Linked DNA regions of Stegostoma tigrinum. The protein of the gene in region 4 purifies or fractionates together with the protein of the main gene of each other region. This does not show direct contact. Links are inferred from orthologs where the notes say so. Each region holds a gene or a part of one and is shown on either strand. Other genes may lie near its edges. The genes, in order: cullin-1, ubac2, hspb1 and vcp.

Region 1 (7,102 bases), on a different chromosome or scaffold from region 4:
CCAGAGTCCAGAGACAGTATATTCCTGTTAGGGTGAAGGTCAAGGCTGGTAAGTATACGGAATTCTGGATGACTAGAGAAATCATGGTATTGGTCAAGAACAAGGTAACACATGTCAGGTATAGACAGCAGAGATCCAGTGAATGCTTAGAGTACAAAGGCAGTAGAAGTATACTTAAGGGGGAAATCAGGAGGGCAAAAAGGGGGCATGAGGTAGTTGCAGGTAGATGGGATAGTGAAGAAGACGTTTGGTATGCTTGCCTTTATAGGTCAGTGCATTGAGAAAAGGAGTTGGGAGGTCATGTTGTGCTGTACAAGATGTTAGTTAGGCCACTTTTGGAATACTGTATGCAATGCTGGTCTCAAAGAACAAAGAAAATTTACATTATAGGAACAGGCCCTTTGGCCCTCCAAGCCTGCACTGACATGCTATCCATCACAACCGAACACCCCTACCCTTCCAGGGACCATATCCCTCTATTCCCATGCTATTCATGTATTTGTCAAGATGCCCTTTAAAAGTCTCTGTAGTATCTTCTTCCACTACATCCCCCAGGAGTGAGCACCCACCACCCTCTGGAGAAAACTTGCCTCAGTTATCACCTTTAAACCTTGCCCCTCGCATTAAACCCATGCCCCATGGTAGCTGACTCTCCCACCCTGGGGAAAAAGCTTCTGACTGTCTGGTCTGTCCGTGCCCTTCATCATTTTGGAGACTTCTATCAGGTCGCCCCTCACACACACTCATTCCAGTGAGAACAATCCAAGTTTCTCCAACCTCTCCTCATAGCTGATGCCCACCATACCAGACAATATCCTGGTAAATCTGCTCTGTACTCTCTCCAAAGCCACCACATCCTTCTGGTAGTGTGGTGACCAGAATTGAACATAATCCAAATGCAACCTAACTAAGGTTCTATAAAGCTGCAACATTACCTGCCACTTTTTAAACTCAAAGCCCTGGCCGATGATGGCAAGCATGCCATATGTCTCGTTGTCTACCTTTTCCGCCTGCGTTGCCACTTTCAGTGAGGAATGATGGTGTGAAACTTGAAAGGGTTCAGAAAAGTTTTACAAGAATGTTATCAGGATTGGAGGTTTTGAGCTACAGGGAGAGGATGGATAGACTGGGGTGATTTTTTCCCTGGAACGTCAGGCTGAGGTGTGAGTGGCACGGATGGGGTAAATAGACAGACAAGATCTTTTTCCTAGGGTGAGGGGAGTGCGAAACTAGTGGGCACAGTCATAGAATCATACAGCATGGAATCAGTCACTTCAGACCAACCAGTTCATTCCAAGCATAATCCCAAACTACACTCGTCCCACCAGCTTGCTCCTGGCCTCTGAAACCCCATGATTCAAGAATTGACTTAAATATCTTTTAAATGTTGCAATTGTACTCGCATCCACCCCTTCCTCAGGAAGTTCATTTTGTATGCCAACTATCCTCTGTGTAAAAGAAAAAATTGCCTGTCTTTTTAAAATCTTTTCTCCTGCCTTAAAAATGTGTCCCCTAATGCTGAAATTCCACATCTGAGGGAAAAGACAACTACCATCAACTTTATACCTCATTATTTTATAAATTTTTATCACTAGCCCATTGGAGGTTCAGAGGTGACCTGGAAAAAAGTCCCAGCCTTTCTTTATAACTCAAACCTTCCATACCCAGCAGCATCCTGGTAAATCTCTTCTGAACCATCTCCAGCTTGTTAATATCCTTCCTGTAACTGGGCGCTTAGAACTGGACAGTATTCCAGAAGAGGCTTCACCAATGTCCTGTACAGGTTTAAGGAGAGTGGGTAAAGATTTAAAATGGACCTAAGGGGCAACATTTTTCATGCAGAGGGTGGTGCGTGGAAAGAATGAGTTGCCAGAGAAAGTGGTGGAGTTTGGTACAATTAGAACATTTAAAAGGCATCTGGATGGGTATGTGTAAAGGGATACTGGCAAATGGGTATAGATTTGTTTAGGATATCTGGTCAGCATGGATGACTTGGACTGAAAGGTTTGTTTCCATGCTGTAAGTCTCTCTCCGACTTTAAATCAGAGTTTGACTAAAGGGAATGTTGCTGATTGACAGGATGTGACAGTGGTGTCCTCCAGAAATCTGCTGAGTTCAGTTTTTCACCATATTTGATCGATTCAGGTGAAAAAATTGAAATTTGTATATTTAAGTCTGCAGATGAGACAAAGTCAGGAAGATCACAGCAGGCCAAGCAGGAAAGCTGATGTTTTGGGCCTAGACTCTTCCTACTACCTCAGAACAATGATAGGTGTGGTTAGGGAAAATATATTGCTTCTGGCTTTCACTGTGGGGAAGCCTTAGTCAAACCAGAACTATTCTGAAGCCATATCCATCTTGGGTCATTAACTCTGTTTCTTTCACCACAGATGCTGCCAAACTAGCTAAGTTTCTCCAGAACCATGTCTTTGCTTTAGAGTGGTGGAATGGCAAGTGATGTGGTGTGGTACATAATTCACAAATCACTATTTCTGGGGAGAAACTATTTCTTATGGTGGGGATCTAGAACAAGAAATCTATACCTTTTAAAATTACAGATAGGTCAGAACATGGCTTTAAGTTGAGGGGTGAGAGATGTGGGACAGATGTCAGAGGTAGTTTCTTTGCTCAGAGTAGTAAGGGAATGGAACGCTTTGCCTGCAGGGTAATAGATTCGCCAACTTTAGGTACATTTAAGTTGTCGTTCCATAAGCATATGGACATACATGGAATAGTGTAGGTTAGATGGGCTTGAGATCGGTATGACAGATTGGCACAACATCGAGGGCCGAAGTGCCTGTACTGTGCTGTAATGTTCTATGTCTAAGTGTGGGCGAAACGTGGAACTATTTTGTTCTAGGCTGTAAATGCTGGGTGTATTGAAGTAATCAAATTGGTATAGGCAGACTGTTGATAACAAAGTGTAGAGCTGGATGAGCATAGCGGGCTAAGCAGCATCAGAGAAGCAGGAAGGCTGACGTTTTGGGTCTTGACCCTTCAGAAAATGATTTTCTGAAGAAGGGTCAAGACCCAAAACGTCAGCCTTCCTGCTCCTCTGATGCTGTTTGGCCTGCTGTGTTCATCCAGCTCTATACCTTGTCATCTCAGATTTTCCAGCATCTGCAGTTCCTATTATGTCTCCGCAGACTGTTAGGTTAAATACGATATGGGTGACATGCGAGTATACAGGGTTGAGGTACAGACGACTTGTGATTTGATATTGGTGGATTAGGTTTGAATGGCTTCTGCCTCATTTAGAAGTTGATCCCATAGCAACAGCGTTTTTCGGTCTATTTCTTAAATAAGGAATTCGCAATTTGTTGCAAACACAACAACATACTTGGGGGACGTGACTAACCTCCCAGGGGCCCATCTTCACAGTTGGGTTACTCGAATCTTTCATATCAAATGTAATCCTGGAGACATCGAGAGGATTAAAAACCAGGAAAGGAAAAATGAGAATTAACGTTTCAGAATGGTTCTGAAGACGGGTCACATTATCTCTCCCATTATCCCAAAATTTAACTGATTGTTTTCCCTTCACAGACACTGCCAGACCTGCTGAGCTTTTCCAGCAACTTCTGTTATCATCAATTCTTCCAGTATTTAAAACCAGTAAAACCTTGCGTGGTCAGTACAAATGTGGCAAATGCCTTTTTAATATATATATTAATCTATCTCAAACTTAAATAGCTGAATATCTGATTTCATTTAAAAATTTAAAAAAAATTGAACCCTCTTACTGCACAAACCTCGTTGAGTTTTTTTTTGGGGGGGGGACCTGGTAGACAAAAACATTTCGCGTTTCTTAAGAAATAAAACAGTCGCCAGCAAAATTTTCCGGAAGCCCAGCTGCAATGAGATCGAATCCCTTCTGTGATGAACAGTTTGTTCCAACGATGTTATTTGTTTGTCGAGACTACCTCACGTGTTTGCCCTTTCGTCATTTTATTAAAACAAACTGAAGAGGAGCTTAGCTGAGCTGAGGGAGAGGCCCCGAGGATGTGGGCGAGCGGCGGAACTGTTGTTTAAGGAATTAGTTGCAGGCGGCGGGGCGGAACCTGTGGAGACGAGGCGCCGGGAGTCGGTTGAAAAATTAAATCGGAAGCAGAGTGGCGAAGCGGACGGAGCCGGTGAGGGGGACGATGGTGAGTGAAGTGGAGGCGGCGGCGGCTGGAAGGTGGGGTTGGAGGGAAAGAGCTCTGGGGTTCCCCCCGCCCCCCAACCATTGCCTCCCTGACTCATGGTGACTCGGGCCGTTTGCGGGAGGCCGCAGTCACCGCCATGTTGTTGGCAGAGCCCGAGGCCCAGGGACAGGCCTCTGGGATTTCCCCCCACCAAATCCCGACCTCACTCCTCAGTCAGTCGGCCCCAGCGGCTGAAACTTTTAGGTGATGGGGTCGGTGCTGTGTAGCAGGAGTTGGAAGCCTCTGTCTCCGTATGGGGAAGGTTTCTTTTTCGGCCGTGATGAATCTGAGAGCCGAGGCTCTAATCTAGGCCTGTCCCGAGAAGCCGGGCCTTGGGATTCCTTCTGTTTGTGGCGCACTGCAAAGAGGAGCTGATTAGTTTCCGCCTACGGCCGGCGACAGATTCTAGTCGTCCTCGCCGGCCAGTTTCCGCAAATAATCTGGGATCCCCCTTACCCCCACTCGGCTCCAGGGACCGAGGCCTCGATCTTCGTTTGATTCGACGCTTTGTGAGCAGCGCTCTGGATCCTAAACATTGCCCATAAATAAATTGCTGCAATGTTATCTAGTGGATTAAAAGCATCTGGGTTTCCGCATATAACCTACATTCTATCGTTTTATTTAAATAAACGAAATAAGTTGTCACGAAGTCTTGCACAGTTGCCAACTTAACTCGTCACGTTGTTATTTCTAAGACTTAAACGCTTCGTCTGTGTCAACAAAAGCACTGTTTAGAAGATTGCGTTGCACCAAAAATCACTTCCCGTAATTCAACCTAGTAGTTCTTAGTTTGCCGCTGTTTGTTTTATACAATGACGCACTGTGATTGCTTCTACCCCAATTGACATGCTTCAGTCAGTGGATATGAAACAAACATTGTTCTCTTCATAACTTGGTCTTGCCAGTGTTGTGGAAAAGAGCCTTAGTATAGTGTATATGTAAAATGTTACTGTTTAACAGTTTTGTGTACTGTCTTACAACTCTGTGATTTGTACTTTATGCATACTGTTGCTTTAAGCCTTTGTCTGATGTTTACAGACTTTAACCAAGAGATGGTATTTTTCTCAACAGCAGTTGAGGAAATGTCTCGGGGCCTCCCAGAGAGAAATGGAATGCCTTGTGTAGAGCTGGTGCCAAGTGGTTCATTGTGGCAGATTCAGTAATCTGACATCCAATTAGGGGGTCAGCGGTACTTATGCACTTACTTGGATCATTAACTAGCTAGTTGACAAATATATGGCTTTTGGAGGTGGACTCTGCAGTGGATGCTGGAATCCTGGAAAACTATGCTAATACGTTGCAACAAACACAAAAGCCCATCAGAGCAAGCAGTAGAAAGCAATGGAACTATTTTTGATTTTACCTGAAATGCCTTGCTTCGTAGAATTCAGTGCTCAGATTCTCCGAGATCAGATGATCGTGTATGTTATCTGTATGAGGCTGTGGAAACTCACCATACATCCATTTGAGTAGTTTAGCCTGCAGGTAATTAATCATTTTCTCCGGGTGTCAATAATTCTATCCTTTGGTTCAAATGCTCAAATTGGTATAGTTTAAATACCTGTTAGCATTGCATCATTTAAGATTGTGAGTGATTTGGAGGGCAATCTGTGGATGGTGGTGATCCATCTATCTGTCCTTATGCACCTGACAGATTTTGGATAGATCACTTGTTGCAGAAATTTTAGCCTATCATTGTCTCTATTTCTGTTTTCTTAATTTGTGGAATGTGGTAATCACTATCTGGCTAGCATTTGTTGCTCATCCAAATGCTGTCTTCAATGGCTGCAGCCCTTAGGGTAACTGGAGACCACTGAGTTTCGAAGGATGTTTCAGATTTTGACCCAGTGAGACGGGTGGTTTGTCATGACCCAAAAGCATAGGGATTTTGACAGTGTTAATATCATTGAATATAAGATAACAAAGTGTGAAGCTGGATGAACACAGCAGGCCAAGCAGCATCTCAGGAGCACAAAAGCTGACGTTTCAGGCCTAGACCCTTCTTCAGAGAGGGGTATGGGGAGAGGGTTCTGGAGTAAATAGGGGAAGGCAGAATGAAGATGGAGAGAAAAGGAGATAGGTAGGGAGTGGGATAGGTCAGTACAAGGAAGACGGACAGTTCAAGGAGGTGGGATGAGGTAGTAGGTAGGAAATGGAGGTGTGGCTTGAGTGGGAGGAAGGGATGGGTGAGAGGAAGAACAGGTTAGGGAAGCAGAGACAGGCTGGGCTGGTTTTGTGATGCAGTGGGGGGAGGGGAAGAACTGGGCTGGTTTTGGGATGCAGTGGGGGAAGGAGAGATTTTGAAGTTTGTGAAGTCCACATTGATACCAATGGGGCTGCAGGGTTCCCAAGCGGAATATGAGTTGCTGTTCCTGCAACCTTCGGCTGGCCACGTTGTGGCACTGCAGGAGGCCCATGATGGACATGTCGTCTGAGGAATGGGAGGGGGAGTTAAAATGGTTCACGACTGGGAGGTGCAGTGTTTTGAGTGTTGAGCAGATGACGATTCTGTCTTGTTGGAGATGGCCTTTACTTGCTCCTAGTTTGGCATGGGTGTCACTTTCCATCCAACTGTCGAAGCCTAAATGTTGTCTAGGCATTACACATGCGCAGTGACAGCTTCGTTATGCAGGAGTCATATATGTTGCTGAATGTTATGTAATCATCAGCATACACCCCTAAATCTGACCTTGTGAAGGGATGGACACTCATTCATGAAGCTGAAGATGTCTAGGCCTTGAAAGTCTTTCTTTGTGACTCATGTTTCAGGGTTGTAACTGTTGAGATGATTGCTCTCCATCAACGGCAATTATCTTACTGAATGCTACATACAATGTCAACCAGTGGCGAGCTTTCAGAGTTCAACTAGATTTTGCAGTTTGTTAAATTCTGTGCCAGTGACAATGGTTGGTAAC
Region 2 (8,033 bases), on a different chromosome or scaffold from region 4:
AGTGCAGTTCTCTCCCGTCCGAATGCCACTGTGCTGCGACCTCTGCTGGGACATACTCAGCGATGGCATTGGTTTGCCTGGGACATTGTCTGAAAGGTAGGATTCCCTGAGTATGATTTTGCCATGATATAAGGTATTCTAAATGTGAAAGTGGGACTTTGTCTCTACAAGGACTGTGTAGTGGTCTCTTTTACCGATACCATCTGCTTGAATGGTCTGTGAGACAGTTCTCCCAATTTTGGAACTAACTCAAAGATATTTGGAAGATTATAATGGTAAAGTGGGAGAATATGTGGACATGTCTGAAGTGTTTCTTTAAAGGAGGTCATTGGAAGTTATTGTGGCCTTTGGAGATCTGTTTTAACAATGTTTCCTGGAAATAACAGGAGTGGTTATGCCTTTTGCCTTGCTATAGATCCTGCTGGAATTGTTTTGAATCATGATTGCCTTATAAAGTGTTTGTTTTAGCTGCGTCATACAGGGGAAAGCATACTATGACCAAGCTGCCTAGCTGATCTTTTACATTTCTGCAAAGAAAACCTTCCGCATCACTTCAAGGTGAAACCTATTTGCTCTTTTGAAAAGGTGATTGATAGAGCATCTCAAGATTATAATTTCTGAGCAAGTTATATTTGCAAGACTTCAGGGGCAACCACACAACATCATTGATGTGACCAAATATGCAAAAGTATTCATGCAATAGATTTTGTAACATCGTATGCTGTATCTTTTTGTCTTCAAGAATAATCAATTGACAAAAATGCACTTTATTTTAATAAGAAAACCAATCTCTTCAGGCATTTATTTGTTTTTTTTATCCCTTCTTTTCCTGAAGAGTGTTTGGGTCCGTGTGTTTTGGGAATATTTATAGGAAGCATATTTATACATCTGTATTACTCTATGAATATATTAACCAATTGTTGCAATTGAATAACTCTTGGTTCGAAAATAAATCCCAAATTGTGCTTATTAATGTGGATAAGGTTTTTGGTTTATTATCTTGGTGATGAGAAAGAGCATTTTTTACCTTAGTGGGAGTGCACTCCTCCAACCTCAGTCATAACAATGCATTTAACAATTGGTCATGTAATGATTTGACAGTCTTTGTCTGCACATATTCTGCTTAATCCTGCTATGAGTGATGTAAAGATCAATGACGGGTCTGATTACAGTTGATAAGATAAAACAGAATTTCTTCCAAATAAATTCAATAAAAAGGAACAGTGCAAAAGACAAGTTCAGTTTCAGAATTTGCTATTGGGCAAAATTCTAACTTGATGAAGGTGAGTAATAGGGTCATGTCCAACATTGCATAGCCTCCTCTTACAGCATCTCTGATTTGTTCACCAATTATCTTAAACCTATTTTTCTTTCGTCAGCAATCCTCCTGCCAGTAGAAACAGCTTGTCTTTACTTACTCTATCAAGTCACTTAACTTTGAACATCTCAATTAAAATCTCACTTAACTTCTCAGTTCTAAGGAGAACCATTGCAGCATCTCCAATCTTTCAACTCAACGATAGTGCCGTAACTCGGTTATCCATTCTAAATCAGCTTCACAGATACCTGCAACAAGTTACTAGAGATAGGTATCTAGTTTTAAATGGCATGAATATAATTATCTCTTCAGCCTAAATTCTTTTACAATCAAAGATTCATTAACAGAACTATCGAGATGCATGGTGAATGATTTGAGATGGACGTAGTTTACAATGTAAATAAATATTGCCATCTGGTGGATTGTGGTACTAACTGCAGAAAGAAACCATGCAAAACCTAATGGGGTTCACAAGAGGCCATTGGGCCAGCAAGCTTATTAGTTCTACAAATTGTATGTTTTGGTATTTTGAGCCAGTTAAACCTAAAAGAGTCAAGCAAAACAACAAACGGATGGGGTATAAAAAAGAAATTTGTGGGATGTGGGTACCATTGGTAGAGCCTATATCTGACCATCCTTAACAACCCTTAACTGAATGGCTTTCGATGTCATCTTAGAGAGAAGTAAAATCACAATTCTGTGATATAGGAAACATGAAAAGGCCACACTAGGTAAGGACAGTAAATATTTATCTAACAGATGTAGGTTGGTAGAGTAGCTCTGTGGTTAGTGCTGCTACCTCACAACACTAGGGACCCAGGTTCATCTCCAGCCATGGGTAATTGTTTACATGGAGTTTGCATGTTCTCCCCATGTCTGTGTGAGTTTAATTGGGTACTTCAGTTTCCTCTCAAAGTCCAAAGATGTGCAGGGCAGATGGACTGGCCATGCTAAAAAAAACCCTGTCCTGTTATAGGGATGTGTAGGATGGATGGATTAGTAATGATAAACATGGGACTAAAGGGCCTGGCCCAGGTTGGCTACACTTTGGAAGTTCAGTATGTGCTGAATGGCCTCTTTCCACACGGTACGTTTTCTATGACATTAGTGAACTCAATGTATTTTACAACAATTCCTTAATTTCATGGTCACCATTACTCATCATGCTGGCGGTTTTCAATGTCAGATTTATGTTGGGTAAAGGTACAAGGGTCTGAAAGGATTAATATTGATATTGCCTTAAGCACCACCCAGTAAAGTGCTGTCATTGTGGCTTTCATGGGAAACCCGATCAGGTGCAACATGAGTCTGGGTCTATCTCATAGTTTCTGTAATAGATTCTATTACATAATGTCACTTCTACTAGCTGCTTTCATGCAATACCATAGTTCTTATTTAGGACAACAGTAAGTGCTTTATCTCTACCAAGCAGGCCTGTAGATTCCTACCAAGAAAGAGGATGGTGAGTGCAATGGGATAATTGGGTAACAATTTAGCTGCTTCCTGCGTTTCTGGTAGCAGTGGAGGTCTGAAGTGTGTTTCTGAGAGGGAACGTACCTAGCCACATGACCAATGGTTGAATTTTTTTTGTCTCACTGGATCCATGTACTAGGGCCAGTGCTCCCAGTTGTGACTTCTTCTCTCAGCTCTTCCCGACATAACTTATATCTTTCTCTGCAGAAGTCTCCTCACTGTATCTCAAACCATGGGCTATCCCATTACCTGTCTCTGAATAAATACCAATCTAACTAATGCATGTTCAATATTGAAGTTTATACAAGTACCAATTTCTTAGTATGTACTAGTGAGCGTACTCCTAGTGAGTATAACTATTACTATTAGTATTAATGTTACTGACGTGGAATAAATATCACTCATAAAAAAGCTATATAATTATTACTGTTGTTTGTATTAACTATTGTCACAGAATATTGTTTAAAAAGACACAGTTTGTTAGAGCATTTCACCTTGCATTCATCAGAAGAAGTCATAAAACATACCAAAGAAAAGTGAAAATAACATTTACACTAAAAGGGTACTCTGCTTATTGCACAGCTGGATAATGGTGTATGAATTTTACTGCTTGTGTGTTGCTAGGTATATAGGCCATGTGTTCAAAGACTGGAGGATTGCATCAAGGAATATATCTCTCCACCTGGATGAAACAAGCAAATTAATGACTGTACCCACTCAGCCACACTTGTGAAATTCACAAAACAATGTCCAACATTAGATGTGATTCTGCGACTGGACAACACTTGCTGGATAATTCTGAGGGGATGAAGGATTAAGCCGATAACCAATTTAAGATTATCAGTCAGGCTAGCAATGTCATGCACTTGTGTATACTACAAGTTAAATATATTAAGACAAAGAGCCCTGCATATTGCAAACTTGAAGGAAATGTACACATGCAACCTGTTTCAACCCAAGAATAATAACAACAGCCATTTTCTGGTTCATATCTCAGGATAATAACTTGACCAATAGGAGCCAACCTACTAGCTTTAAAATGTAAGCAAAGTTTTACAGTTTACTGTCAGTCAACATTAACTGCTGCATCTGCAGACCAAACTTTCTCACAATCTGAGTCCACTTGCAACCAATCAGTACTTGCCTGTCATAAATTTTAATGATGCGTTTTCCCTGAATTGGATTTTATTTATTAATGATATCATCAACAGAACTGAGAGCAAGAAGAAAAAGCTTTGACAGATATATCTCCTTTTTCAGCAGCAGTCAAGTTCTGTTCTACCACACATAGGAACTAGGGGAAGGCGTTTAGCTGATTGAGCTTGCTCTGCTGTTTAATATGGTCACGGCTGAGCTCATCTTGGCCTCAGTTCCACTTTCCTGCCTGTTTTTGATAACCTTTCAAACTGTTACTAATTAAAAATCTATGTTCTCTTTATATTTACTCTATGTGCTAGCATCCGCTTCAATCTGGGATAGTGAATTCCAGATTCATGACTTGGAGAGAAGCAATTACTCCTCATCTCTGCTTTAAAAGTGTTTCACCTTGTGCTAAAACTATGACCTTTTGTTCCGGATTAAACAAATACTTATTACTACTAATAGAACTATTAGTATTAGCCAAATATGGCTCTTTAAATCAAGCTCTCTAATAATTATGAACATGAATACTATTAATAGTAATTTATAGTGATGAATGCTATTAATTGTAATTAATAGTAATTAATGTTATTAGTGTAGAAAATACTGTTAGTGAGAAAACACAGTCAGTGTAAACGTCATTGTCAGATAAAATTACTACGACGTGAATACAAGTATCAGTCCCAATGAATGTTTCAGTCTCCAGGATCAGGTCGAGGGGGCGGGGTCTGGAATGGGAGGCGCGGTCAGAGCGAACATGTGGGGCGAGGGCGAGCAGGTGTTTTAGAGCCAGGAGCGTGACAATGACGTTGGGGCGGGGACAAAGTGAGGGGTGGGGTCTAGATGAAGGGTGGTCTTGGCGGGGAAGGGTGTGGTCAAAGGCGAGAGGCGTGGTCAACATTGGGGATGGGGTGAGGAAGAAAGGGCGTGGTCACCGCGTGTGGGCGGGGCCACGGGACGATGTTCGCTGGGACTGGTTCCAGCGGCCTCTGTGAGTAACCGAGACATGGGAGTGGGAGTTGGGGCAGCTCAGGGAGTCCTGAGCAATGGGAAACTTTTCTGTTGATTCTCCCCGATTCGAGGTGGAGACGGTTGGGCCGGTGCAGTGAATGGCAAGCGCGGCACGAATATGGAGGCCTCGTTGGGGGCGGGGTTCGCCAATGAGCCCAGGGAGAGGAAAGGAAGGGTCTGGGTCCTACACTGACCCCGCTCCAGACACCATGGCCGGTAGGCCTGGCTACATCCCTGTCTGACTGACACCACCCTGAGACACCCCCCAATGTCTGCCTGACACCCACCACCAGACACCCCCCCCCATGTCTGCCTGACACCCCCCCCATGTCTGCCTGACACCCGCCCCCAGACACCCCCCCCAATGTCTGCCTGACACCCGCCCCCAGTGTCTGCCTGACACCTCCCCACAGACACCTGCAATGCCTGTCTGACGATCCCCCAGACACCCGCAATGTCTGTCTGACAATCTCCACCTGCCCTGTCTATCTGCACCCCACCCTCACCCGCCCCGTCTATCTGCACCCCACCCTCACCCGCCCCGTCTATCTGCACCTATACCCACACCACTCCATCTGTCTCCAACTGCCTGTCTGCACATCACGCCCACCCGCCCCGTCTGTCTGCACCCGAACCCTGCCTGCACGCCACCCTCACCCACTCCATCTGTCAGCACCCCACCCCCTGCCCCGTCTGTGTGCACGCCACCTCCACCCGATCCGTGTCTCTGCACGCCACCCTCACCCACCCTGTCTGTCTGCACCCCACCCATACCCACTCCATCTGTCTGCACCCCAACTGCCTGTCTGCACCCCATGCCCACCCGCCCCGTTTGTTTGCACGCCACGCCCCCTCACTTCCCGTCTGCCGGCACTCCCCCACCCCACACCGCGTCTGTCTGCACTCCCCACCCCATGCCCCGTCTGTCTGCACCCTCCCCCACACCCTGTCTGTCTGCACCCTCCCCCACACCCTGTCTGTCTGCACCCTACCGTCTGTGTGCACTCCCCCCAACACCCCGTATGTCTGCAACCCCACTGCACCTACCCCACCCTGTATGTCTGCAATCCCCCACCTCACCCACCCCATCCCACCCCGTCTGTCGGCACCCCCCTTGCTCCCCACCCCATCTGTCTGCACCCCCCTTGCTCCCCACCCCATCTGTCTGCACCCCCCTTGCTCCCCACCCCATCTGTCTGCACCCCCCTTGCTCCCCACCCCATCTGTCTGCACCCCCCTTGCTCCCCACCCCATCTGTCTGCAACCTCCTGCTCCCCACCCCATCTGTCTGCAACCCCCGCACCCCACCCCGTCTGTCTGCGCTCCCACCCCACCCCGTCTGTCTGCGCTCCCACCCCACCCTATCCTACCCTGTCTGTCTGCACTCCCCCTCCCACACCCCGTCTGTCTGCACTCCCCCACCATGCCCTGTTGTTCTGCCCTTCACTCACTGCTCCCCCACCCCGTCTGTCTGTACTCCCCCACCCCGTCTGTCTGTACTCCCCCACCCCGTCTGTCTGTACTCCCCCACCCCGTCTGTCTGTACTCCCCCACCCCCGTCTGTCTGTACTCCCCCACCCCAGTCTGTCTGTATTCCCCCACCCCGTCCGTCTGTACTCCCCCACCCACCCCACCCCACCCCACCCCACCCCACCCCGTCCGTCTGTACTCCCCCACCCACCCCACCCACCCCACCCCACCCCGTCCGTCTGTACTCCCCCACCCACCCCCCCACCCCCCCACCCCGTCCGTCTGTACTCCCCCACCCAGCCCGTCCGTCTGTACTCCCCCACCCCACCCACCCCGTCCGTCTGTACTCCCCCACCCCACCCACCCTGTCTGTACTCCCCCACCCCACCCACCCACCCACCCACCCCGTCTGTCTGTATTCCCCCACCCCACCCACCCCGTCTGTCTGTATTCCCCCACCCCACCCACCCCGTCTGTCTGTATTCCCCCACCCCACCCACCCCGTCTGTCTGTATTCCCCCACCCCGTCTGTCTGTATTCCCCCACCCCACCCACCCTGTCTGTCTGTACTCCCCCACCCCACCCACCCTGTCTGTCTGTCTGTCCTCCCCCACCCCACCCACCCTGTCTGTCTGTCTGTCCTCCCCCACCCCACCCACCCTGTCTGTCTGTCTGTCTGCACTCCCTCTCCCCCCCACCCACGCACCCACCCAATCTCTTTGCACACCCCACCCACACACCCACCCCGTCTGTCTGCACTCCCCCCACCCACACACCCACCCCGTCTGTCTGCACTCCCCCCACCCACACCCACCTACCCACACCCACCTACCCCGCCCCACTCCCCCTACACCTCCCACCCCCCCCCCACCCCACCCACACCCACCCCCCCCACCCCACCCACACCCCCCCCCCCACCCCACCCACACCCACCCCCCCCACCCCACCCACACCCACCCCCCCCACCCCACCCACACCCACCCCCCCCACCCACACCCACCCCCCCCACCCCACCCACACCCACCCCCCCCCACCCCACCCACACCCAACCCCCCACAGCCCCAGACCCCCCGCCCATCCTCCGCCACCCACCCCCGCCCCCCCCTCCCCCACCCACCCCCACACTGCCACTCTGTCTGGGCCATTCAGTATTCTGAAAGTTTCAGTTAGATCCCCCCTTATCTGTCTGAACTCCAATGAGTATAGTCCCAGAGTCCTCAAACGTTCCTCATGTGTTAAGCTTTCCATTTCTGGGACCATTCTTGTGAGCGTCCTCTGAACCTTCTCCAGGGCCAGCAGTACATCCTTCCTGAGATATGGGGCCTCACCTTTGCACTTACAGTATGTCGTGACCCAAGTCTGTGCCTCCAGAGAGAGCAAAAGCATGCCCAATATTTAGGCTATACTGTCAGAGATGACTCTCGCCCTCTTCGGCAAATGACTTTGAACATAGTTTGAAGAGGAGCAGAAAATTCTCCTATTTGTTCATCTCTACAGCAGATTACTGACTGTGCAAGATTGTGTGTGAAAGTAGTCTGAGTATACTACACTTATTGGCTTTAAGGACTTTTGGATGTGACGTAGTCTTAATGTACGCTACAAATTATTTGTTTCAGTACCG
Region 3 (7,060 bases), on a different chromosome or scaffold from region 4:
AAGGCCCCCGACCCGAAACATCAACTTTCCTGCTCCTCTGACATTACTACATCAACATTTCTTCCCTTTAAAGATCTTTATTCACTTCCTCCCCAAGAGTGTTGGACGAGGAGAGCGAACATTACCCCTACTAAATCCTTAATTCTGATTACAGAGGTTACCTTCTGCTTTCGGCTATCGCAGTCTCACACAGGGCTTCCACAAAGTTGGATCATCCTTCATAAGGGCCCTCAGGAATTGCTGGATGCCTGTCCCTTGCTGCTAACCACCCTCACTAATTATAGGCTGGGAACAACTCCAGCAACACATCAACCACATGCCTGGTCTGGTTGCTGGGCTACCACACATTGTTGATACATAAGCAAATAAATACATTTCTAATCAAGTGATAGAATGCCTCTCAGAGGAGTTACAAGAAAATGCAAAATTCCCCTACACAACATTCCAGAGTGTTGCAATGTCACTGGGCTAATAATCTATCAGCAGACTCACCGCCGCAATAGAATCGAGTTTGGGCCGGTGCGGTACCCAGTGGCGTCAGTGGTGTCTGCATTGGCAGGGTCCAGTGAGGCCTCATAGTGGTGAGGGTGTTGGTGGGTGCAAGACGGTGCCACAAACTGGCGACTTTTGTTCCAGGAGCAGCAACATGGCGAAGGCAACTCATGCCTGACTACCAGGCCCATGGCCCATGGCGGTGCGCTTAACAAGGAGGACTGTAAAGTTGAACACTTTTTCTCTATTTCTTTAGCTTTTCTACCTTTTATTCTATGTTTTGGTTTATTTGGCTGTGCATTAAGATTGCATTGAAGAGTGGTGACACTGTATTACACTTTTCACATTATTTGTAACAAAGTACATGCAAAAATAAATAAATCAAGCCAAATCCTAACTGCCCTCTGAAATGAAGAGGCAAACCATTCAGTTAAAAGGCAATGAGGGATGGGTGAAATGCCCACATTCCATGAAAAAGAATACAGAAGATTATCACACCAGTCCCAGATCCTGGAAGTGAATTTTCCAAGTGCATTGGCAGCTCACTCTCATTGCTCCGAATGGATCCTTTTCATGAGTAGATTTGTAATCACTAATTCAGGTGTAGTCTCTCTATGTAAGGTGGGGCTGCAGGCTGCAGAGGTAGTCAGGCCCACCTGGGATGTGAGTTTCAGCAGAGCCTGAGGCAGATGCATCTATAGTGCCACGGTAGCTGTCAGTCTAAGGGGACAGACCCTGAACAACAGGGTGATCAATCTGTTAACTCGCGTGTTACACAGGAGTTGACAGGCTTTTTCGCTCCCCGACCAGACAGCCGGTGTTACAGGTGACCAGCAGTGAAACAGATAGAGAGAGACAGCCCCAACAGATTTGGGGAAATAACACAAAGGCGGATTTGTAATAAAGTGGATGGCAGCCGTGATGACATGTCCAAAGTAATGACGGTCCAAGAATAAAGGATGTGACTTGGACACATGCATCGAAGCTGGGCCCAGATGATGTGTAGATAATTGCAGTAACATCTTGCCATTTGCCAAGATTATGTTCCTCAGAGACTTTGTGAGCAGTGTTTTGGTCAAAGACTGCATATTTTGCCAAATTCTTCACTAGGTGGAGCATTGCAGTCTACCAGAAGAAAGACAGTTGCATTACATCAATTGCAAAACTAAAAGTGTCTGAAATTCATTCCAGGTAGTGAGCAAGGAACCAGACCAAAACAATTTTTGACAGTATCTTTTCGACTTGTTGTAAGATCCATGAAGCACAGCAACAATCATTAACAGACTGTCCGCTTCTTGGCAATCTGCACTTTAGACTAGATTACCTTTGGGCTGCAGGTTTAACGTCACACTGCACCTGTATGGAGGCCAGGTGTTGACCAGTCACCAGGCATGCTGACTTGCAGTGAAAGTTACAGACTGATTATAACTGTTGCTGTATTCTCCTAGATCTTGCAACTAGTCTAAAATTGAATGCTGTGCCGGCATGACATTGTGGGAGTGACTGCGAACGCACAGACGGTGCTGCAGAGTAGAGACTATTGCTCCAGTAGCAGTGACACAGCGAAAGCAGCTCATGCCTAACTACCAGGCCCATGGTCCATGGCAGAGCACATAACAAGAAGGAAATGATTTTTGCATCGGGAATAGGCACTGCACTTCACTAGTCGTGAACATGACATTCCATGTGTGCACAGAGCAAGATGTATGAGCAGTGCAGACGGATATACTGCATAAAATGGTTGGCAGTGTTACATTATGCACAGTACGAGGTGCATGCGCAATGCAAAATGCGCTTGCAGTTATACGTGCTGTGTCTTACACGTTTAGTGCGAGTTACGTGTCCGTGTGTGAGCTATACGCAAATGCGAGGTTTTGCACTTTGGAAAAAAGAATACAGGCATGGACTATTTTCTAAATGGTGAGAAAATTCATAAAGCCGAAGTACAAAGGGACCTGGGAGTGCTGGTCCAGGATTCTCTAAAGGTTAACTTGCAGGTAGAGTCCGTAATTGAGAAAGTGAATGTAATGTTGTCATTTATCTCAAGAGGGTTGGAACATAAAAGCAGCGATGTGCTTCTGAGGCTTTATAAAGCTCTAGTTAGGCCCCACTTAGAATACTGTGTCCAATTTTGGGCCCCACACCTCAGGAATGACATACTAGCCCTGGAGCGTGTCCAGCGGAGATTCACACGGATGATCCCTGGAATGGTAGGTTTAACGTATGAAGAGCGGCTAAGGATCCTGGGATTGTACTCATTAGCGTTTAGAAGGTTGAGGGGAGATCTAATAGAAACTTACAAGATAATGTATGGTTTAGAAGGGGTGGACGCTGGGAAGTTGTTTCCATTAGGCGGGGAGACTAGGACACTTGGGCACTGCCTTAGAACTAGAGGGGGTAAATTTAAAACGGGAATGAGATGACATTTCTTCAGCCAGAGAGTGGTGGGCTTGTGGAATTCATTGCCACGGAGTGCAGTGGAGGCCAGGAAGTTAAATGCCTTCAAGACAGAGATTGATAAGTTCTTGATCTCACAGGGAATTAAGGGCTACGGGGAGAGTGCAGGGAAGTACATTCGAAATGCCCATCAGCCATGATTTAAATGGCGGAGTGGACTCGATGGGCCAAATGGCCTTACTTCCACTCCTATGTCTTATGGTCTATATGGGTAGCTCAGTGGCTAGCACTGCTACCTCACAGTGATACAGAGTGAGGATCAATTCCAGTCGTGGTTGACTGTCTGCATGGCATTTGCACATTCTCCTTGTGCTTTTACAGTCCAAAGATTTGCAGGTTAGGTGGATTGGCCGTGCTGTAGTGCCCAGGGATGTGCAGGTTATGTGGATTGGCCATGTTGTTGTGCCCAGGGATGTGCAGGTTAGGTGGATTGGCCATGCTGTAGTGCCCAGGGATGTGCAGGCTAGGTGGGTCAGCCAGGGTTACAGGGATAGGGGAGTAGGGAGGTTCTAGAGGATGTTCCTTGGAGGGCCGGTTTGGACTTGATGGACAGAATGGCCTGCTTTCGCACTATAGGGATTTTCTATGAGTTACAGGTGCAGTGCAATATGAGATGTTTGTGCACGGTGTATTTTCTGCCTGCAGGAAGTAAGTTTTCTTTTCATTTATTTTCTTTAAAAACCTGGAGAAGCCCAGATTGGGTGCAGAGTGGCCAGAATCGTACACACAGTCCGTTTGGGGACCGGATTTTACTCTAGCCCAGGGAGGGAAGTCGAAACCCAAACACCAACTTCCCAATCAGAGATTTTCAGAGCACAGAACGAGGTTGTTGGGCCCATCCTTACTGTGCTGGCCCTCTGCAAGTAAAGCAACTGAGCTCCTGGCGCTTTGTCCCGGGGTGTGTACATGGGTGCAAGAGGGAGTGTTGTGTCTAGTGTCAACAAGCTCATTTTCCAAACTCTGATCCAGACAATCGGAGAGACCATTCGGGAATCCTGGAGAGCTTGAATTCCGCACCAATGAGGGCAGACCCTGTAATCGGACTCGGCTGGAATCTGATTTAAATATAGCCCGGGATATAAAAGCAGCGCCGTGCCACACTTCTGGCCCAGCGTTAGCCCGGCTCTGCCTCTCTCTCTCTCTCTCCCCCGCTGCCGCGATGTCCGAGCGCCGCATCCCCTTCAGTTTCATGCGGAGCCCCAGCTGGGATCCGTTCCGGGACTGGCACTACCCCGGCCGGATCTTTGACCAGTTCTTCGGGATGCCAGCCTTGCCCCACGACTGGTCGGCCACCGACTGGCACGGCATGTGGCCGGGCTATTTCCGACCGTCCCTGGCGGCCCCGAGCGGGGCAGCGGCTCCTGCCAGCGGCCAGGACAGCGGCTTGAGCCGGCAGCAAAGTACAGGAGTGTCCGAGATCAAAGTGACCTCAGATAAGTGGAAAGTCAGCCTGGATGTCAACCACTTTGCCCCGGAAGAAATCACAGTCAAGACCAAGGATGGGTACGTGGAGATCACTGGTAAGCTCCCTCCAGATCTCTTCATTTGTAGTCTTGCTATTTCCAACTTTCCCCAAATACTTTTCAGAGCCCCTCATTGGGTTAGTCCCTGGGCCAAGAGTTTTGAGTCCCTGAATTCCATCACCACCCCACCCAACCTTCACTTTCCTGTTGGACTGGAGTTAGTGTAAAGCCCAGTTTTTAATTTTTCTTAAATTATATATTGTTTAGCCAGTCTGCTGTCGGGAAAGTCAGAGGGCCCAGGATTGCAAAACGAGGGTGTTCCTGGCCAACGGCCCAGAGCCCAGGGGAAATTACTTCGCTCAGCCCCTTGTGGGTGTTGGGATCTCAGTACTCGGAGAGTTGCATAGATTGGAGGCTTCTCTCGGGGAATCGAGGGGTATTGAGTGTGGCTGGGAAAGTGGATTTGAAGCCAGGGTTGTATTTAATGGCAAAACAGGCACGATGGGCCGAATGAGCTACTCCTCTCTACTTGTTGTGTTCTTCTGTGCCCAATTCTGCTCGCACCTCTTTCGGATGAATGTAACGTCTTACAGGAGTGGGCTTGGGGAAGGAAGATTTGTGAGAATGAATTGAGGGATGGAGGAGTAGTTTGATGCCCGAGGGAGGTTCAATCACGATGCCAAGGAAGCAGGTGTTAACCTGCAATATCCTTCTAATACGCCTTTAGCAGGCAGCAAGAGGGTGAAGATCTCCTTATCTGCTGTGCCTCATATGGAAGGGCATCTCTCAAAATTGCTTCTGGAGTGAGGCTGGTGACATGTTCTGGGAGGAACAAATCATGTAAATGGATTTTTGGGGATGTAGGTTTCACCAGTTGGACCAGTATTTATTGCTCGTCTCTAGTTCTCCTTCAGAATGGGAAAATCTGCGGGCCAGTTCACCTGGCTTTTGAAAATGCTGGAATATGTTATTAAGGGAGTGTGAACAATGTGCATGGCAAATCATAGTTCATAGACAAAGTAAACATAGTTTTATGAAAGGGACGGCATGTTTGACAACTAATTGGATATTTTGCCCATCTAACCAGCGGTGGGGAACCGGTAGATGTAGTGTACTGGGATGTGAGCTTCAATAAGGTACCACGCGTAAGGTGCTATTATGTAGGTGAGGGGTTTATGGAGTTGGGAGCAATAGGTATTCTAATGGTCAGATCGCCCTTGCTGAAGTCGAAATGGAAGTTGCATATCAAGGCCATGCAAAATTCTCAAGGCAGCTGGCTCCAAGGGAATTGCACTGGAACTTGGTATTATTATTGGCAAATTCCCTGCATCAAGATAATTCTGAAAAAGTCCCTTGAAGTCGAGAATTCAGAGGGTTCAAACTCCATAGGCCCACAGGTTATCCAGGAAAGTTTAGAGGATTAAAACTTGTTTTAATACCTGGGTAAATATTAATCTGAACTTCCTGACTATGCCCACCCCAACCCAACATTCACCCCCGTCACCAACTCCACCCCATCTGATCCAACACAGCTCCCTAACACAACCCCAACACCCGCATATGACCCAACAACACCACACTCCTTCCAATCTGACCAGATACCATCCATACCCACTGCCATAACACTTGCAGAGACACCAGAACCAAAATGCCTCTTCTTAACACAACCCCTCCTCCACGTGATCAAACACTCCACCTAATCCGATAACACCCTCAATGTTTCGACTTAATACCTTCCTACCCCTCAACTGATATCTCCCAGTCTGACCCAACATAACATCCCAGTCATTTTCCCAGCCCCAGCTCCAACCTGAACTGAAATGGCAATCTCTCCTAAGTACTCATCCTCCTGTGAGGCACTCCGGGACTCAATCTATCTGGCTTCTTTTTCAGCTTGCACATCTGGCATTTTACCCACTTCTTCCTCCCCTGGAACCCTACCTACCTGACCCTAACTAATCTGTGACTTTTCCCCATTACCCACCTGGCTCATGCCCCCCACTCACTGGGACTGGTCCCTCCTGCTGCCCCTTCAAGTATGTACTTACCTTTCACAGTAGATTTCAAAGTGCCTGCTGACCATTTAAAATGAAGACCAACGCATTAAGTGCTGCAGAAGGTGATGTAGTTTCAACAAAAACCCTTTGCACTTCGGGATTTGAGGCTTGCTTAGACTGGCTCATACCAAAAGGCTCTAGAACAGAAATCTCCAGGGCAGAAGTGGGCATTTTTAAAATTTGATCGGGGTTGGAAATAGGGTTTCTGTCTCTGACTGGGGTTGTGGTCAGATTTTTCAGCCTAACAGGAAACAGAGAGATGGATAAGACCTTTTCGAGATGGCAAGCTGGGACTAGTAGAGTATTGTTCATTGCTGAGCCTTATCAATTTACAATCTATATTTGTGACTAGATGAAGAGATTGAGATTAATGTATCTACACTTGCTGACAATACAAAGCTGGTTAGAAATGTAAACTGGAGGCAGCAGTGAGACTGCATTGGGAGACAGAAAGCGGAAGTGAATGGGCAACATGATGGGATATAATGTGGGCAAGTGTCAGCTTATTCAAAAACCAACACAAATTGCTGGAGAAACACGGCAGATCTGTGCAGAATCTGTGGAGAGAAATCAGAGGTAATGTTTTGGGTC
Region 4 (7,606 bases):
ATCGACCCCTGTGGAATAACTCTGGTCACAGGCTTTCAGTCTGAAAAACAACCCTCCACCATCACTCTCTGCCTCCTGCTGTTAAGCCAATTTTGTACCCAATTGGCAAGGTCACCCCGAATCCCATGCAATCTAACAGGTCTACCATGCAGAACTTGTCAAAGGTTTTACTAAATCCTCTGGCTACCCACTCATCTTCACCACACTGTATGCTTTTCTTTTGTTTTAATGCTATCCCCAAATTCTATTGTCAACCATGGTTGCCTCATCCTCCCCTTAGCATATTTCTTCTTCCTTGAGATGAATTTCTGCTGTTTCTGCAAACTACCCCTAGAAATTCTTGCCATTGCTATTCTATCATCTTCCTTGCTAGGCTCCTTTTCCAATCAACTTTGGCTTGCTCCTCCCTCATGTCTATGTTCTTATCTTTACTTAATTAAAGTACCATCACATTTGATTCCAGTTTCTCCCTCGCAAACCACAGAGTGAATTCTATCATATTGTGGTCACGACCCCCTTGGGATTTCTTCACCTTAAGGTGCCCAGTCAAGCCTGTCTTCTTAAATATCACCACATCCAGAACTGTCTGTTCCTTAGTGGGTTCTACCACAAACTATTCCAAAAACTCTCATTGACATTCTACAAATTCCTTTTCATGGGATCTGCTACCAACCTGATTTTCCCAGTCCAATTGTTTTTTTGGAGTCCCCTGTAATTATTATAATCGTGCCTTTCTGACATGCTTTTTCCATCTCATGATTTATTTTCTGCTTCACATCCTGAATACTGCGAGGAGGCCTGTACATAACTCCCACCAGGGCGTTTTTCCCTTTGTGGTTCCTCAACTCGGCCCACACAGATTCTACACCTTCGATGTCACATCTTGCCAATCTTACGAACAGGTCAACCTCAGCCCCTCCACCCGTACACCTGTCCTTTCAATGAGATGTGTATCCTTGCATATTTAGTTCCCAGCCCTGATCCCCTTGCAGCCATGCAAAAGTATGCCCACAACATTGTACCCACCAATGTCAATTTGCACGACAAGCTCATTTACTTTGTTTCATATACTGCACATAATTAAACACAACACCCTTAGTCCTGCGGAGATAGTAGGAACTGCAGACGCTGGAGAATCTGACATAACACGGTGTGAAGCTGGATGAACACAGCAGACCAAGCAGCAGAGGAGCAGGCAAGTTGATGTTTCGGGTCGAGACCCTTCTTCAGAAATGGGGGAGGTGAAGGGGATTCTGAAATAAATAGGGAGAGAGGGGGAGGCGGATAGAAGATGGATAAAGGAGAAGATAGGATGAGAGGAGACAGACAGGTCAAAGAGGCAGGGTTAGAGCCAGTGAAGGTGAATGTAGGTGGGGAGTTAGGGAGGGGATATGTTGGTCCAGGGAGGACGGACAGGTCAAGGTGTTTGGATGAGATTAGTGGATAGGAGATGTGGGTGGGGCTTGAGGTGGGTGGAATGGTTAGGGAGGCGGGGACCAGCTGGGCTGGTTTTGGGATGTGGCAGGGGGAGGGGAGATTTTGAAGCTTGTGAAATCCACATTGATACCATTGGGCTGCAGGGTTCCCAAGCTTGGTTTCCCCGATGTAGAGGAGGTCAGAACAGGAACAGCGGATACAGTATTTCACCTGCACATATGTTAATGTGATATACTGTATCCGCTGTTCCCGTTGTGGCCTCCTGAACATCGGGGAAACGAAGCGGAGGCTTGGGGACCGCTTTGCGGAACGCCAACGCTCAGTTTGCAACAAACAACTACGCCTCCCAGTCGCAAACCATTTCAACTGCACCCCCCACTCCTCAGACGACAGGTCCATCCTGGGCCTCCTGCATTGCCACAATGGCGCCACCCAAAAGATGCAGGAACAGCATCTCATATTTCACTTGGGAACCCTGCAGCTCAAGGGTTTCAATGTGGACTTCACAAGCTTCAAACTCTCCCTTCCCCTGACCGCATCCCAAAACCAGCCCAGCTAGTAACCCCCTCCCTAAATATTCCTCCCATCTCAGGCTCCACCCCCATCTCCTACCCACTAACCTAATCCCACGTCCTTGACCTGTCCGTCCTCCCTGAACTGACCTATCCCCTCCCCAACTCCACATCTACATTCACCTTCACTCGCCTCTTTGACCTGACTGTCTCCTCTCACCCTATCTTCTCCTTTATCCATCTTCTATCTGCATCCCCATCTCACCCTTTGTCCTGCTTTCATTAGCTCCCTTCTCATTGTTGTCCCCTTCTCCACTGTGCCTGACGTTAGATTTTTGACCCCTAACCAACCACCCCCTACTATTTGGTTTAAAGCCCTGTCCACAGCCTTGCTTACATGATTTGTCGGCATGATTGAGGTGGAGCCCATCCCTTCAAACGCTTCATCCTTCCCCAGAAGTGTTGACAATGTCCTATGAATTCAAACCTATTTCTTCCCTAACTATCTTTGAACTGAGTGTTTACCTCTTTTTTTAATCTTGTTGACCCTGTGTCAGTTAGATTTTGGCTCAGGTAATAATTCAGAGATTGTTACCTTATTGGTTCTGTATTTTAATTTAGGCCCTAGCTTCTCACATTGCCTCAGCAGCACCTCTTTCCTCTTTCTACCTATATCGTTGGACCATAACAACTGGATCTTTCACCTTTCATTCCAAGTTCCTCTGCAGCCCCAATGAGATATCTTGAACCAAGGCACTAGAAAGGCAAAACAGAACTCTCAATCCTGGCCACAGAGATCAGTGGATACTCCCCTGACTATATTATCCTCAATTACAACTACATTTGTCTTTTCTCCCCCCTCTTGATGGCTCCCTGAGCCACAGTGTTATGGTCATTTTGTTCATTCTCTCTACAATCCCTGCGCTTGTCGACACAGGGAGCAAAAATCTCAAACCCGTTAGACAAGCTCAAGGGCTGAGGCTCCTTCAACACTACCTCTTGGATCCCTCCACTTGCCTGGAGGTTGTACTGAAGCAGCTTCAATACTCAAATCTCAATATCATGTTAATGTTAATGTTCATATTCATGTTAAAGCATTTTGATAAAGGCCAGAAGAGCATAAGTTATAGAGGCAGAATTAGACCATTTGGCCCCCTGAATCTGCTCCGCTGTTTGATCAAGGCTGATATGCTTGTCCACCTCATTCTCCAGCCTTATCTCTGTAGCTTTTGCTCCCCTAACCCAATCACAACCTCCTGCAGCAATGAGTTACACAGATTTACCACTCTCTGGCTGAAGAGATTCTGTCTCATCTCAGTTCTAAAGTGTTGTCCCTTTTCTCTGAGGCTGTACCCTCAGTTCCCGGTCTCTCTTATTAGGGGAAACATCGTCTCCATGTTCACTCTATTCCCCCCTCATCCTTCTAAACTATATTGAATACAGACCCAGAGTCCTCAACTGTTCCTCATATGTCAAAGCCCTTTATCATCAGGATCATTCTTGTAAACCTTTTCTGGACCCTCATCAAGGACAACATATCGTTTCTGAGACACACAGACCAAAACTGCCAACATTGTTCCAAATTCATTCTGACAAGAGTGTTATACAGCCTCAGCAGTACAACACTTCTCTTGTGTACTTGCCCTCTTGAAATGAATGCTAACATTGCATTTGCTTTCCTAACAGCCAACTGAACCTGCATGTTAGCCTTAACAGAATCATGAACTAGGACTCCCACGTCCCTTTGTGCTTCAAATTTCCAATGCCCTTCTGCATTTAGAAAATATCTAAACTTCTATTTTTTCTACCACAGTGCATAACCTCTCACTTTCCCACAATGTGGTGCATCTGCCACTTCTTTGTCCATTTTCCTAGTTTGTCCAAGTCCTTCTGTATCCTGAGACAATATAGTGTGGAGTTGGATGAACATAGCAGGTCAGGCACATCAGAACAGCAGGAAAGTTGGCCTTTCTGCTTTCCTCCAGCTGTGTTGTCTCCAACTTCTTAGTAATGAGCACTACGCTCACCTTTGCCGTGACTCTCTTGACATTCTCATATAAAGATGTTGCAGTACTTGCAGACCATCGTCTACGCCCGTCTTTCTCCACGGACTACCTTGTCTAAGCCCACTCCCTTTTGATATTCTTAATGACATATTAATGTAGCAACAGGAGGGAATGGGTTCCATACAAACTGCCATCTGTTAGACCTTGAAAACCAAAGGACCCCGCAGTGAAAATTGTTAAGGATTACAATCACCAATGGTCAAATGGGAGGTGGCAAGTTATTTGGAAAGTTTCAGTTTCAAAACGAATCAAAAATTATTTGCACCACGATGAATGAGATGCCGACAGCCCTGCCACGACACACGTTCATCAAGCTTGACGGAGCAGTGCGTTAGAATGACTCGACAGAACAAGCAGCGCGATATCCTTTCCGGATGTGGAGATTGACAGTTAGGGGCGGGCGCACACGCTCGCTTTAGCGGCGCAGGCGCGGTGGTGGGCGGGGCTGCGAGGTCACGGCTCCGAGAGAAGGTTCTGGATTGGGTAGCCTCGTTGTGAGTTCGGAGTGACGCGGCGGAGCGGCTGCCAGGGGCTTTTTTTTGGTACTTCGGCAGCTGGGGCGAGAAGGGACCATTGAGTGACAGGGAAGACGGCACAAGAAAGGGTTAAAATATTGTCCATCAGAGGCTAAGAGAAGTGAATCCCTGTGAGCAAAGGGAGACTGATCGGCAATGGCTTCGGGAGGAGAGTAAGTAAGACCTAGGATGGATCAGTGAAGCGGATGGTAGTTCCCAGTCTCGTTGAAGGCCGGTAGGCCTCAGGCTTTTCCTCGTCTACTGCAGGAAGGGGGAAGGGAGAGGCAGGTTTGCTCCTCGCCTGATTTCACTGTGTCATCCTGGCCTAGTTGGGAGAGGCTGCATCTCATTGAAGAGACCTGATCTCAGAGCGGAATTTCTGCCTTCGGTTTATTTTCACCAAAGCCCCCTGTCTGGAAATGGAGTTAAAAATCGCTTCGCAATTATTTGCTGCAGTTTGTTTCGGCCGAGTTATGAGGATGACGAGGGCGATTTTTTTTGTTTTGGGGGGGCTTATTTTGTGGAGTTTGGCATATTTGCTGACATTTTGTAAAAATCGAGACGTAGCGAAACGGGATTTAATCAATTTTCGTTCATTTTCCAACCTCTAACCTGGCTCATATCAAGGCGAGCGTGCAATAATATGTGATTAACTGAAGTTTATGTTTATTTTCGCGGACATATTTGATTTTTTTTCTCCCATTCCCTTCACCTGCAACTGTAAAAATTAATGTGGTATGGCTAGGTAGAGATCAAAGTAACTGAATGTCTACATCGTTATAACAGATGACTTCATGAGACTTTCCTTTTTGAGTTTGGATTTTATGTTTGTAATTATAAATTCACTTAAGTTGCTACAGTGCCATACAAACGCGTAATGGTCACTTAGTTAGCATTTTGCCTCTGAAATAATCCTAAGATTTTATTATTCTCACGTATTGAGATACAGTGAAAAGTACTATTTTGTGTGCTATCCAGCTAGATCATACTTTACATAAGTGTACATTATGGACATTTTGAATTAAATCTGAAAATGGTTATGATCTGAATTGCATTACTTGAAAGGTTGGTGGGGCAGTTTTAATTTTGGCTTTTAAAGGGGAATTTGATACCATTGTCAGAATTGCAGGCAACTGGAACGACAAGCATACCAAATATGAGTACAAGGTGAATTTTGTATCAGAAGGTTTCCTGTACTGCAGCTACTCTGCTTATGTGATTTTCAGTTGTGTATAAATTCCATGCTGTCAGAAATAATTCTTCAATGTGTCAGTGGAAAACTTTCAATTTTTGTCTACCAAAAAAAAGTGCTGTTCTGTGTGTTAAAATACGTTTTAAGACAGTATATATAAAATAGCATCAAACCGATGATGATATGAAAAGCTTGTTTAGAAATAAGATTACATATGCAGCTGGATATTACATGGTCCCTGAAGTTTTGTTTTATCTTCAGAATCATCGTTTAGATTATGCTAAGGGATCGAGAGTTCCAAATGTCCAATAATCTCCATGGTTAGTGAGTGCTGCCAATGTTACCAGCCCTGGTAATCTTGGATATGATTACTCTTTACTTCAGACTTAGCAATGAGCTGTTACACTCAATTGTGTGGAAGTGCCATGTTCTCTAATTTATGGCATGGAATGATATACGTTTGAGCTATGTTATTTACTTTAGTTACAAATAAAGCTTGCCTCTGAGTCTGCCAAGCAACACAATAAATACCCCCTCTGTATTCATCTGTTATACTACACTCCATAATTACCAGGAGAAATTATTTCAAATCATCTCAACATTGAATGGTTGCTTAAAAACAGGAGGTCTTCCTTTGTCTGAAGTTCTCTGATTTTGTTTTCTTTGACTGATGTTCTTAATCATACAACAAAAATTTGCTTGTTGACTGCAGCCTTAAGTAGTGTTAAATTTTGTACTTCCTGTATTCTCATTGAATTAGACATACCTTGACATATCCCTGTTCTTTACCAAAATCAATTGTCACACGGCTAATATCTTACAAAGTTTGGCAGCACAAAAGTGAAAATAGTTTTCATACTCCTTTTTTATGCTAGGAGTTGATATTGAACAATTATATCAAAGGCTTTCTGAGGTGAAGAATCTAATTACATTATGGTGGTTTGGTTGTTCCATTCTCTCCAGAGTGAATGCTTGATTGTTTGAAACATCATCCTAACCCCATGAAATTTTTTTAACCCTCCCTAAGCTTCTCTGTCACTCTATCTCTCTGTTTTTAAAATCACCATTTACAAGTTTAACCAATTTTTTTGGCTTGTTGTCTATTTTGTGGAAGTTACATATAAATGCAAGTTGTCGTAACTTTTCTGCCTGCTCACATTGTGAAAAGTTCTTGGTTACTTCATGAAATGTGAGAAGCAGGTTGGGATTTTAACTTGAAATAAATGCCCAGTCATTCTTCAAAAATTGGAACAACCCTGTGCATGTCAGGTGAGAACGGTAATGAATATGATTGTGACATCTCCCTGAATCGATACTTCATCATACTGTGGGGATTTATGCCTGAATAATGGGCATTTGGTTGAGGTGTTGAAGGGGTGCTGGCAACTGAGAGTTTGTTTTTAAATCATAGGACATGGACATCACTGGCGAGGCTAGCATTTATTGCCCACCTTTAATTCCTTTTATGGTGGTTAGTGCCACCTTGAGCTGCTGCAGTCCATAAGAGAGAGTTTTGATCTCCTAGTCTCAGGAAAGACATTCTTGCTATTGAGGGAGTCCAGCAAAGGTTCGCCATACTGATTCCTGGGATGGCAGGACTGACATTGAAGAAAAACTGGATTGAATTGTCTTATGCGATCTTGTAGAAACATATAAAATTCTGATGGGACTGGACAGGCTAGATGCAGGAAGAATATTCTCAATGTTAGGGGAAGTTCAGAACTAGGGGTCACAATCTTAAGAATAAGGGGCAAGCCATTCAGGACTGCGATGAAGAAGAATTTCTCCACTCAGTGTTATGAACCTGTGGAAGTCTGTACCACAGAAAGCTCTTGGGCCATTCGTTAAATATATTCAAGGGGGAACTGGACGTGACCCTTTCGG

The links.
Region 1: the proteins of vcp (region 4) and cullin-1 purify together in Homo sapiens (affinity purification with western blotting; 4 studies listed by BioGRID and IntAct, with this or other methods). This does not show direct contact. The link is inferred for Stegostoma tigrinum from reciprocal best matches to the Homo sapiens genes VCP and CUL1.
Region 2: the proteins of vcp (region 4) and ubac2 purify together in Homo sapiens (affinity purification with mass spectrometry; 3 studies listed by BioGRID and IntAct, with this or other methods). This does not show direct contact. The link is inferred for Stegostoma tigrinum from reciprocal best matches to the Homo sapiens genes VCP and UBAC2.
Region 3: the proteins of vcp (region 4) and hspb1 purify together in Homo sapiens (affinity purification with mass spectrometry; 3 studies listed by BioGRID and IntAct, with this or other methods). This does not show direct contact. The link is inferred for Stegostoma tigrinum from reciprocal best matches to the Homo sapiens genes VCP and HSPB1.

What each region holds. Positions count from the first base shown.
Region 1 is NC_081355.1:98,233,402-98,240,503, reverse strand, and holds the start of cullin-1, read left to right. Parts: upstream 1-3,868; 5' UTR 3,869-4,148; intron 4,149-7,102. UniProt on the Homo sapiens protein: Core component of multiple cullin-RING-based SCF (SKP1-CUL1-F-box protein) E3 ubiquitin-protein ligase complexes, which mediate the ubiquitination of proteins involved in cell cycle progression, signal transduction and transcription.
Region 2 is NC_081359.1:17,621,441-17,629,473, reverse strand, and holds the start of ubac2 (ubiquitin-associated domain-containing protein 2), read left to right. Parts: upstream 1-4,807; 5' UTR 4,808-4,891; coding exon 4,892-4,922; intron 4,923-8,033. UniProt on the Homo sapiens protein: Restricts trafficking of FAF2 from the endoplasmic reticulum to lipid droplets.
Region 3 is NC_081380.1:6,803,185-6,810,244, forward strand, and holds the start of hspb1 (heat shock protein beta-1), read left to right. Parts: upstream 1-3,883; 5' UTR 3,884-4,108; coding exon 4,109-4,469; intron 4,470-7,060. UniProt on the Homo sapiens protein: Small heat shock protein which functions as a molecular chaperone probably maintaining denatured proteins in a folding-competent state. Plays a role in stress resistance and actin organization.
Region 4 is NC_081354.1:133,138,689-133,146,294, forward strand, and holds the start of vcp (transitional endoplasmic reticulum ATPase), read left to right. Parts: upstream 1-4,498; 5' UTR 4,499-4,686; coding exon 4,687-4,703; intron 4,704-7,606. UniProt on the Homo sapiens protein: Necessary for the fragmentation of Golgi stacks during mitosis and for their reassembly after mitosis. Involved in the formation of the transitional endoplasmic reticulum (tER).